Linked DNA regions of Oryctolagus cuniculus. The protein of the gene in region 1 purifies or fractionates together with the protein of each later gene. This does not show direct contact. Links are inferred from orthologs where the notes say so. Each region holds a gene or a part of one and is shown in the gene's direction. Other genes may lie near its edges. The genes, in order: RAB28 and PDE6D.

Region 1 (4,552 bases):
AACTTGGGCTCTTCCTCAGATTATTTTTTAATACTTATTTGAAAGGTAGAGTTAGCGAGCAAGAAATATCGATCTTCCATCTGCTGGTTCACTCCTCAAATGGCTGCAATAGCCAGGGCTGGGTCAGGCTGAAGCCAGCAGCCTAGAACTTCATCTGGGTTTCCCAGGCGGCTGGAAGGGGCCCAAGCACTTGAGCCATCTTCTGCTGCCTTCCTGGGTGCATCAGCAGGTAGCTGGATGGGAAGTGGAGATGCCAGCATGCAGGCAGTGGCTTAACCTACTGTGCCTTAATGCCAGCCCCAGAAAATTATCCTATCAGCCAGACCTGTCTATCCATAGTCCACGTAGCTTCATGAAAGAATAAACTTGAATGTGAATGTATTCAAGTACAGTTTGGATTCTAGTTTTCATGAACAACTCCAGTGATGTATAAAGACGGTGACGATGGTGGTGGTAAAACTGAGGACCGAACTGGAAACTAATCGTAATTCAGGTCCTGAGGACAGGTGAAGAGACACTCTGCCTGGCAGGCGTTTGTGATTAGGGCTGCTGTGCTGCCTCTGGTGATGGGCGCTTCTCACTGCACGGTTTTCCCGTTTGGATCCCCATAGTCTCTGTAGGCCTACTGTCTGGTGATTTGAGCTTCCTCACGTGTGAAATGCAGGACTTCTATGAGTAAAGGTGTCAATCCTGGTGAAATGAATAACAGTGAGACGTAGTGGGCGGGCATTTTTTATTGTAGCATTTCTCACTACACTGCAATTTTCAGTCACGTGATTTACTTTCCCTCCTGGGTTGAGATCATTCAAGGCAGCAGTTCTCAATTTTTCTTTTTTGGCTTCAGGACCCCTTTATACGCTTCAAGAATAACTATGGACTCCAAAGAGCTTCTGTTTATCTGGCTTACACCTACCACTGATCTATAGAATTGAGAAATGCTTCGTAACAGAGTAACAAGCACTTGCTCCCTTGGCTGTGATGACGTCAAACACACGTATCCTCCGGGAAAACGCAAACTTCCGAGAACATGGACGAGGAAAAGGCCAACGGGGCGTCTGTATTACCGTGAAGACTTAGTTTGATTTACTCGGGACCTCCCACTTGGGGAACCGCCGCCCTGGGGTACAGATCTTGCACCAGGAAACGGCGCGAGCTCCCACGACGAAACCTGGGACTTCAGAGGACAAAGTTAGCAGGGCCAGAGTCCGTCCCACGCTGGCCGCCTCGAGAGCCTGTCCCAGCCCCAGGCCCTTCCACGCGCGTCGCGAGCGCCCAGAGACAGGCCCCGCCCCGCCGCCTTCCCACCAGACTCTTGGCTTCCATGGCAACCCGGGCGCACATCCTGACGTCGCCCGTCCGCCCCTTCGGACTAAACCATTAGCTTCAGGGACCTTCTCCACGCGGGGAAGTAAGGGAATGTGAATGAACGCCTCCGAGAGAACTTTTGAGCCCATCTTGTCTACTTAATTTGAAGGATGCGCTCTCTTCTTTTCTTTTATCCAACTGCCCCTGCAAGGGCGGCGTAGTATCTCAACCATCTCGCTCCACACTCCCCCGCCTCCAGCCCCGGCCGGCTGGTGGTCCCTCTCGCCTGGGGGACTCGCGGTCGGAGCGGGTTGGCGCAGAGGCGGAGGCGCGCGCCCGGCGTGACGCGCAGGGGGCGGGGCCCCGCGCCGAGGGGCGGGGCGGCGGGTAATATGGCGCCCGGCGAGCGAGTCTCCCCGAATCCCTCCGGTGGCTGCTGAGACACCGGGGCGGGGAGTTCGGCCCCCACTGCCTGCCTTCCGCCTGTTCCCCGCCCCTGGAGGCCTCCTGCTTCCCTTCCTTCTTCCACCTCGGGGGGGCAGGCCTGGTTCCTGGGACACCATGTCCGACTCCGAGGAGGAGAGCCAGGACCGGCAGCTGAAAATCGTCGTGCTGGGGGACGGCACCTCCGGGAAGGTCAGTCCTCGAGCGGGCCCGCCGAACCAGGCCTGAAGGACCCCCGGCGCGGCCCCGGCGCACCCCCGGCGTCGCCTCGCTACCCCGAGTTCCGGGGCCGGTAGGCCGGGGCCCGTGTGTGGTCGTGGCCTGTGGGCAGACACGAAGTGCGCGCTTGGTTAAGGCCGACGAGAGCTGTCCAGCTCCCTCCTTAAAATAAATAAATAAATAAATAAATGAGTAAATAAACCAGCCCGTTTCCAACTCCCTGCCTGCATCTCGAACTCCTTCAAGGCGCGGGCCAGCCTCGCCTCGCCGGGAAGCTGTCCAGCTCCTCGCCTCTCGGACTGGCAGGCATCCGCCCAAGGCATCTCGCCTCCTCTTACTCCAAGTCGGGGTCACACCCTGCTCCTCCCCGCCCTTTCCCGTTTCTGGTGCCTCCCCGTGCACAGAGCTTGGCTCTGGAATCAGATTCCCCGGGTGCGAACGAGGAGCTCCGGCACTTAGCTGGTTGGGTCACTGGAGGGCGGCTCGCTAAGCTGTTTGTGCGCCATGTGTGAGATGGATATTGATAGGGGTCACCGCGAAGGGTGCAATGTGCAAATACACATTCCGTGTGCAAATACACACACAGGGCTTTCAGGACTCGGTGTGCACTCGGTGAAGCCGCAGCTGCTGGTACCTGTTCAGCACAGCACCTGTCCGACGAGCACTTGTTGAGCCCTTGGTGTGGACAGGGTGAGGGCAGAGCGCAGGGCGAAGCTGGAGCTGTGACGCAGAGAGCCCTGTCTTGCAGTCTCACCTCCCCTCGGTGCAGGGCGGATGAATGAGAGCGTGAGAATCTCCCGCAGTCGCTCAGCCCCCTGGGCGCGGGTGCCTGGCCCGAGGTTAGGGGACTCCTGCAACGGAATGACTGTGGCCCCACACCTGCCTGGGGAGAGAGGGTCTGCAGGCTCTCCAAGGAGGCTGTGCCTGGGGCGCCTGCACACCTGTCGCGTCTGTCGAAGGCGCCAACCCTTTTTCTGGGGATGTTGCAAACGTGTGCCTCCCTTCTGCCCAGCCGCCCTCAGAAACGCAAGTGCTTATTTCCGCCAGGTTCCTGTCGCCTGGGTGCTGGTGTAGTTTGCACACGGTTTCTGTGGTGACGGCTTCTGTGCATCCTCGCGAGCAGTTGGCGCTGCACAGTGGCTCCTGCCTTTGGTTCTGAAATTTGAGTTCCTAAAGCCCCGGGAAAGATGCCATTCGCGTGCACAACTGGGAGCATGCGGTGAATTCCTGCCCTCCTGGGTAGGTTGTTATCGATTTTGTTGCTGAGGAAAACAACTTACTATGCTGGCATTCCCTTTAAACGTATTGGAGAAGAAAAGAACTTGGGGTCGTTTTATGAGTTTTTGTACACAGACTTTTTGAATGAACAAATTGTTGCAGGTAAATCAGCACTGTCTCTAAGAGCTTCAGTAAAAAAGATAGTTTTTTTTAACAGTTTTCTCATCATTTAGATTTTTCTTTTGAAAACCGCCTAAATCTTATTGCATCAATTCATAACTGAGCTCATTTCTAATTTAAAACTATGACCTTCTATGACACATGCATGTGTTCAAAAAACCTCAAAAGTGTCCATTATCCTACATGCTTCCATAATTCTTTAAACTTTTGTTCATTTTTCTTCCAATATTTATTGCATATGTATTAGTTGAACTTTGTTCATAATTTTGTAACCAGGTTTTTATTTAAACTATCATGCATGTTTCCCCCTGTTGCTAATTTAATATGAATAATCATGATTTTTCATCTCAGTTTACAATCCTGACCAACATACTAATTTTTCCAGTATTGAATTAAGACTGTCATTTTCATTCATAGAATAATAGTTCTTTTTTAATGGTGTTTTGAGTTGATCTTCATCTTAATTAAATATTCTACTTCAAAGCTGTAACATCTTTTTCTGCTGGAAATTTCCTAACACAAGTATCTGAAACTTAACCTTCCATTATTCCTTATTGTGCATTTTTCCCCATATGCTATTCAGGTTGCAAATTATTGGCAGCCACAAACCTTCCTATTCTGTTTTCTTTGCTGTCCTTTTATGAACTCAGTCTCTTCTTCATCCCTGTTTGTATTCAAATATAACGTTTGGTCAGTTTTTTAGCATTAGTTTTTCCTACTACCTCTAACTCTGGGCATTTTTATACACACTGACAGAGGAATAGAATACAGCATTGAGATAACCACTAACAGTTTCTCCAAGAGAAATCTAGCTCCTCCCTCTGTTAACACATGTTTCTATTTCATCTTTACTCTGATTCAGTACAGATTTTCCTAGGGTTTTTGAGGCACAGTATTGTTTTTTGGTTGTCTTTTTAATGTAAATGAATTATGATTAAAAAGTGTTAGCACTTTTCCAAGCAAAAAACATACAGATAAAAATGGTTTAGATGAGGAAGCTGATTGTTCACTTCATAAATCTTTAAGAAGGTTATTTATGCAGTGACTTGTGAGAAATTAATTGCATGTGAAAGATGGCATGAAGTCTAGATAATTGAAGAGGAAGTGCTTCCCATTGATTAAATTGATTCTCTGTTTAATTTTTACAGCCAGATGTCAGGAGATGATATAATAAAAACCTATTGAA
Region 2 (4,421 bases), on another chromosome or scaffold:
TATCTCATTAACAAAATATTTTTAGATAAAATTTTTAACAGAAAATCCTACCCATCCCTCAAGCTCAAAGGCCACCTCCTCCATCAACTTTGGCCAGCTATAATCAATCTCTCCACCAGAGCCCCCCGTGGCATACTGCTGTCACCTTGATGCCCTTTGTCACGCTCCATCCTGATTCTCAGTGGAGTCTCCCTAACTCAAATAGACGGTCATCTTTGTGGAGGCGGGGACCATGTCTTCTACCCACTAAGTGCCCGACAAATCACAGAAGCAGAAAGCACGTTTGTTGAATTACCCAGAAGGAAAAGCTGAGTGCAGAGGGTGACAAGCTGGTGAAAAGCTGGGTGCAGAGGGGGACGAGAGGAAGAAAGTCCTAGGAAAACACACAGAGCATCTCCCAGCAAGCCCGGGCTCACCCTGCGATTTTACCCACTTCCTGAAATCACATCAAATGTCACCTTGAGTGACAAAGAAAGAACAAATCAAAAGACCAAGTCCTACCAAAACAAATATCACACACTTCCTCATCTGCCAGAAATCCACCGAATAAATGCTTTACCCAACCTCTGGGTGTTCCAACCTTGGATGGGCAAACTACTCAACAAGGCGGGCAGTAATCGCACTGCCATACTGCTAAAAATATCACCTCCCAGGCTGCGGGCGACAGACTCGGGGCCGAATCCTAACTCTGCCCCAACTTGCAGTGACCTGAGGCCGGTCTCTCGCCTCTCTGGGCCTCAATTCCCTCGCACGTAAAAACAGCAGGGGCAGGATTAGCAAATTCTTTCAAGCACCTTCCCGTATTGACAGAGCACACAATCGATAGCTCTCCTGGTCCGAGGCAGGAACACACCAGAGGTCCCCGCAAAACACGCAAACGGCGCCCCCGTCCAACAAACAAGCACGGTTTGAAGAAGTCGTTTTGTTACATTCTTTCGTGGTTTAATCAGTGTTTTTGTTGTTTGCAACCTTACCATGATTTGCAGGCGATTTCTGAGTTCCATGTAAACAGAAGTTAATTCTCTGTGGGCTGTCATCGTCTTTCACCGGGCCACAGGGTCTTCCCGCCTGGTTTTCAGTCTCGGGATGCAGAAACCACCGACCTTGCCGGCAGGTTTACGAATTTGCGCACACTGCGCGGCACACTGGAGCCTAAGTTACAGAGCCTCGGGACGCGACGAATGCTGGGATTTGTAGTCCCTGGGCCTCTCTGCTGCGTGCTGGGATCTGTGGTCCCCTGGCGCTCTACTGGAATTCTGGGAAATGTAGTCCTCTGCCCCTTCGCACAATGCAACCTGCGGTCGTCTCAGGAGACTAGTGAGCCCAGCAGCAGGAGCAGGCCCCTAGAGCCTCTGCAGATGTCAAGCCAAGCCCCCACTGGGGCTAACTCTAGGCAACAACACCCAGTGAAAATTTTGTCCTATGGGACTTCTCGGGGAGGGCGCTTCCCATGGATGCTCTTCGTCCCCCTGCGAAGCCGCTGAGCGTTGCTATTGGCTGGTGAGAATGCCAATCGCCGAGGCGGGCTTTCCATTGGCTTAGGGGCGGGCGCTCCGAGACCAGAGGGAAGGAGAAGGATCAGGAGCGGGAGCTGAGGGGAGGGAGAGGCCGGTCCGGGTCTGGCCGCTGCCTCTGCTTGCCCGAGGTCTCCAGGCCGGGCTGCGGCTCTGTGCTCGCTTCCTGGGCACGGTCCGCGAGGCTCCGCAGGGCAGCGTGAGAGAGCCGCGGGCGGCGGCCGCCGCAACATGTCAGCCAAGGACGAGCGGGCCAGGGAGATCCTGAGAGGCTTCAAACTGTATCCGCCCGGGAGCGGGGAGGGGCCGGGAGGACTTGGGAGGCGGTCGCTCCCTGAGGAGACCGGCCGGGGACTGGGGCGCCAGGTGGGCCCCCGAGGAGAGGGGCAGCGAGGGGGGACAGGAAGGGGCCGAGGTCCCAGGCCCCGGCGCCACGGGGCGCGGGAGGCGGGCACGGGGGCGTCCTGAGGGCGGAGGGGGACGTTGGCGGGAGCCGCGGGCACGGGGGCGAAGGAGCCCCGGGGCCTGGGCTGCGAGGGGCGCCGGGCGCCGGCGAGGGGTGTCGGGAAGCGGGCTGGGCTCGGAGCTGCGGCCGGGAGGGGCCGCGGCCCGCCGGGGAGGGCTGAGGGGGCGCGGCGGGCTGGCCTCGAAGCCCGGCGGCGTCTTTGGCGGGAAGCCCGCCCGGGGGAGCAGAGAAGTGACTGGGAGTGAACGACCTTGCGTGGGACCAGCGCCGATGCCTGGCATTAAATACTCTCGCCCCCCCCCCTCCACGCCTCACCCCGCCTCACCCCGTCTGGTTGCCACAACTTCTTCTGCTCACTTGTGGCTTCCAGGGCTGGAGTAGCAGAGGGCGGTGGGGGGGCGGGCGCCGCTCGCCTCTCGGCCCCTCGGGTCTTCCCTGCAGCCCGGCGAGGACGCGGAGCTCGCGGGTGGTGGGATGCCTCCAGGTGCCTTGGCCGGGGTGCCTTAGGGGTGCCTGCCGCCGGGTCGTGGCGGAGCTGTCCAGCAAGGGTTGGCTTGCGCTGGGGACCCGGTCAGGTGTGAAGTCCCTGCCTCGGGCCTGGGTGGAGCCGGTAGTTAGAGAGCTTTGTGTTTTCGTGGAGGGTTAGTCTGGCCAATGTGATCTTGCATATTCCAATTTTACATTCTCCTACTGACCTTAATCTCTTCTTAGCACCCTATCCGTTCAGTGAGGAACATTCTTAAATATCGCTTTGGGTGAAAATACCGGCATCGCTTTGGGGCCCCTCCCCTGGGTGCTTAGCAAAGCACTGTTCTCTGACCCCCACCTGTCGGGTTGTCACAGTGCCCATTTCACCCCTACACATTTGAATTATTTTGTCATAGCCAGAAACCAAGTTGGTAGTAGAACACAGTGCGAGAAGAGGGTCAGGAGGTTTGGGATGTACAGATGAAAATCTCCAGTGGAATCCTGTTAGGCTTGTTTAAAAACCCAAGGCTGTGTTAGCCTTGCAGACTTCATCCGTGCTCAGCTTTCAGTACTTTCATGTGGTGGAGTTTAGGAACAACCTCTCAAAGCTCCATGTTCCCTTCTGGGTTTCTCTTCATAATGGAGCCTCGACAGGGATAGGCATAGCTCAAGTGTTCGGAGAGCTATGACATGGATTTTATTTTTTCTCTTGCATACTTTATACTTAACATATGTGTTGCAGACAGTAAACCAGAGAATTTGAGATTTTGGATTGCAATTAATGTATTTCTGAAAACCCGGAAGGTGGCTTTTGAGCAAGGCAGAAAAGGAATGCTTGAGCTTCTCACCATTCGTTCAGTCTTGGCTCTTGAACTTGTTGAGAAAGAAGCGGAGGACAAATATGAAAGAGTAGAGAGCAGGAGGTGTCAGCCCACTGGCAGGAATGGGGAATTAACCAGTTCAGCCGTGATGTTGCTGCGTCGACAAACAGGCTTTCAGGGAAAGTTTGAGTGGAGCTAAGTAAGCCCTGAGACAGGAGAGCAGCCGCATAAAGTTGGGAAGCAGTGAAGTGAGAGTGCTGGTCCTCCGTGTCCTTTACTGGCATCTGAGGATTAAGAGAGAAAAGGAAAGCAAGAACCATAGGATTTGCTGCCTTGGAATTCTAGCTTTACATTCCTGACCCCATATCCCTGCACAACTTCTGTAACCTCTACCTCAGTTTTCTCATGTAAAAATAAGAATAATAATACCTGGTTGTGAGATGAAATGAATTGATCTCCAAAGTATTCAGAAAAGCACCTGGTGTAAGCATCGTGTGCTAGCTATTGTTGCGAGAGAAATTCCAGATCATTTCTCTTGCATTTTAGTATTGATCCTTTGCCTATGAAGTATGTTGCAAGTATTTTTTTCTCAATGTATTGCTTGTCCCCTTCTTTTGTTGAACAGGATTTTTAAATTATCATTCCAGATTTATTAGTATTTCCTTCTTCTGCATGTGGCATATCGTTTAAAGAGAACTTCTTTATCCCAAGATTAATCAAATAGCCTGTTTTCTTCTCTTTTCAATATTTAGCTCCTCAGCCTAACTGCAGGGTGTTTACATGTGTGTGGTGGAGATCTAATCATTGCTTCCATAGTCGTCCCAGGACTATTCACTAAATAGCTGCTCTGTCCTTTCCTCACTGTTTTGAAATGCCATCTTTGTCTTATAGAAAGTTTCTATAAGAAATGGATTTTCTTTTTAGAATATTTCTATTTCATTGATCCATCTGTGCACATTTAGTTTAATTACTATAGTTTTATAGTATGACTTAGTATAGTCCGCAGAAGGATTGGCATTTCATGAACAGAGTACATGTGTTTAAAGTCATTGTAAAGGCCCCATAAATATTTGTGTTCCTTTTATTCACACAGAACATTGCCCATCTGTCCATTATACAAGTAGAAACCAAATAAATGTGAATTACAAATTA

The links.
Region 2: the proteins of RAB28 (region 1) and PDE6D purify together in Homo sapiens (affinity purification with mass spectrometry; 3 studies listed by BioGRID and IntAct, with this or other methods). This does not show direct contact. The link is inferred for Oryctolagus cuniculus from reciprocal best matches to the Homo sapiens genes RAB28 and PDE6D.

Annotation. Positions count from the first base shown.
Region 1 is NC_091433.1:8,526,517-8,531,068, reverse strand, and holds the start of RAB28 (ras-related protein Rab-28), read left to right. Parts: upstream 1-1,629; 5' UTR 1,630-1,866; coding exon 1,867-1,941; intron 1,942-4,552.
Region 2 is NC_091434.1:7,549,400-7,553,820, forward strand, and holds the start of PDE6D (retinal rod rhodopsin-sensitive cGMP 3',5'-cyclic phosphodiesterase subunit delta), read left to right. Parts: upstream 1-1,535; 5' UTR 1,536-1,745; coding exon 1,746-1,795; exon of another isoform or gene 1,796-1,880; intron 1,881-4,421. UniProt on the Homo sapiens protein: Promotes the release of prenylated target proteins from cellular membranes. Modulates the activity of prenylated or palmitoylated Ras family members by regulating their subcellular location.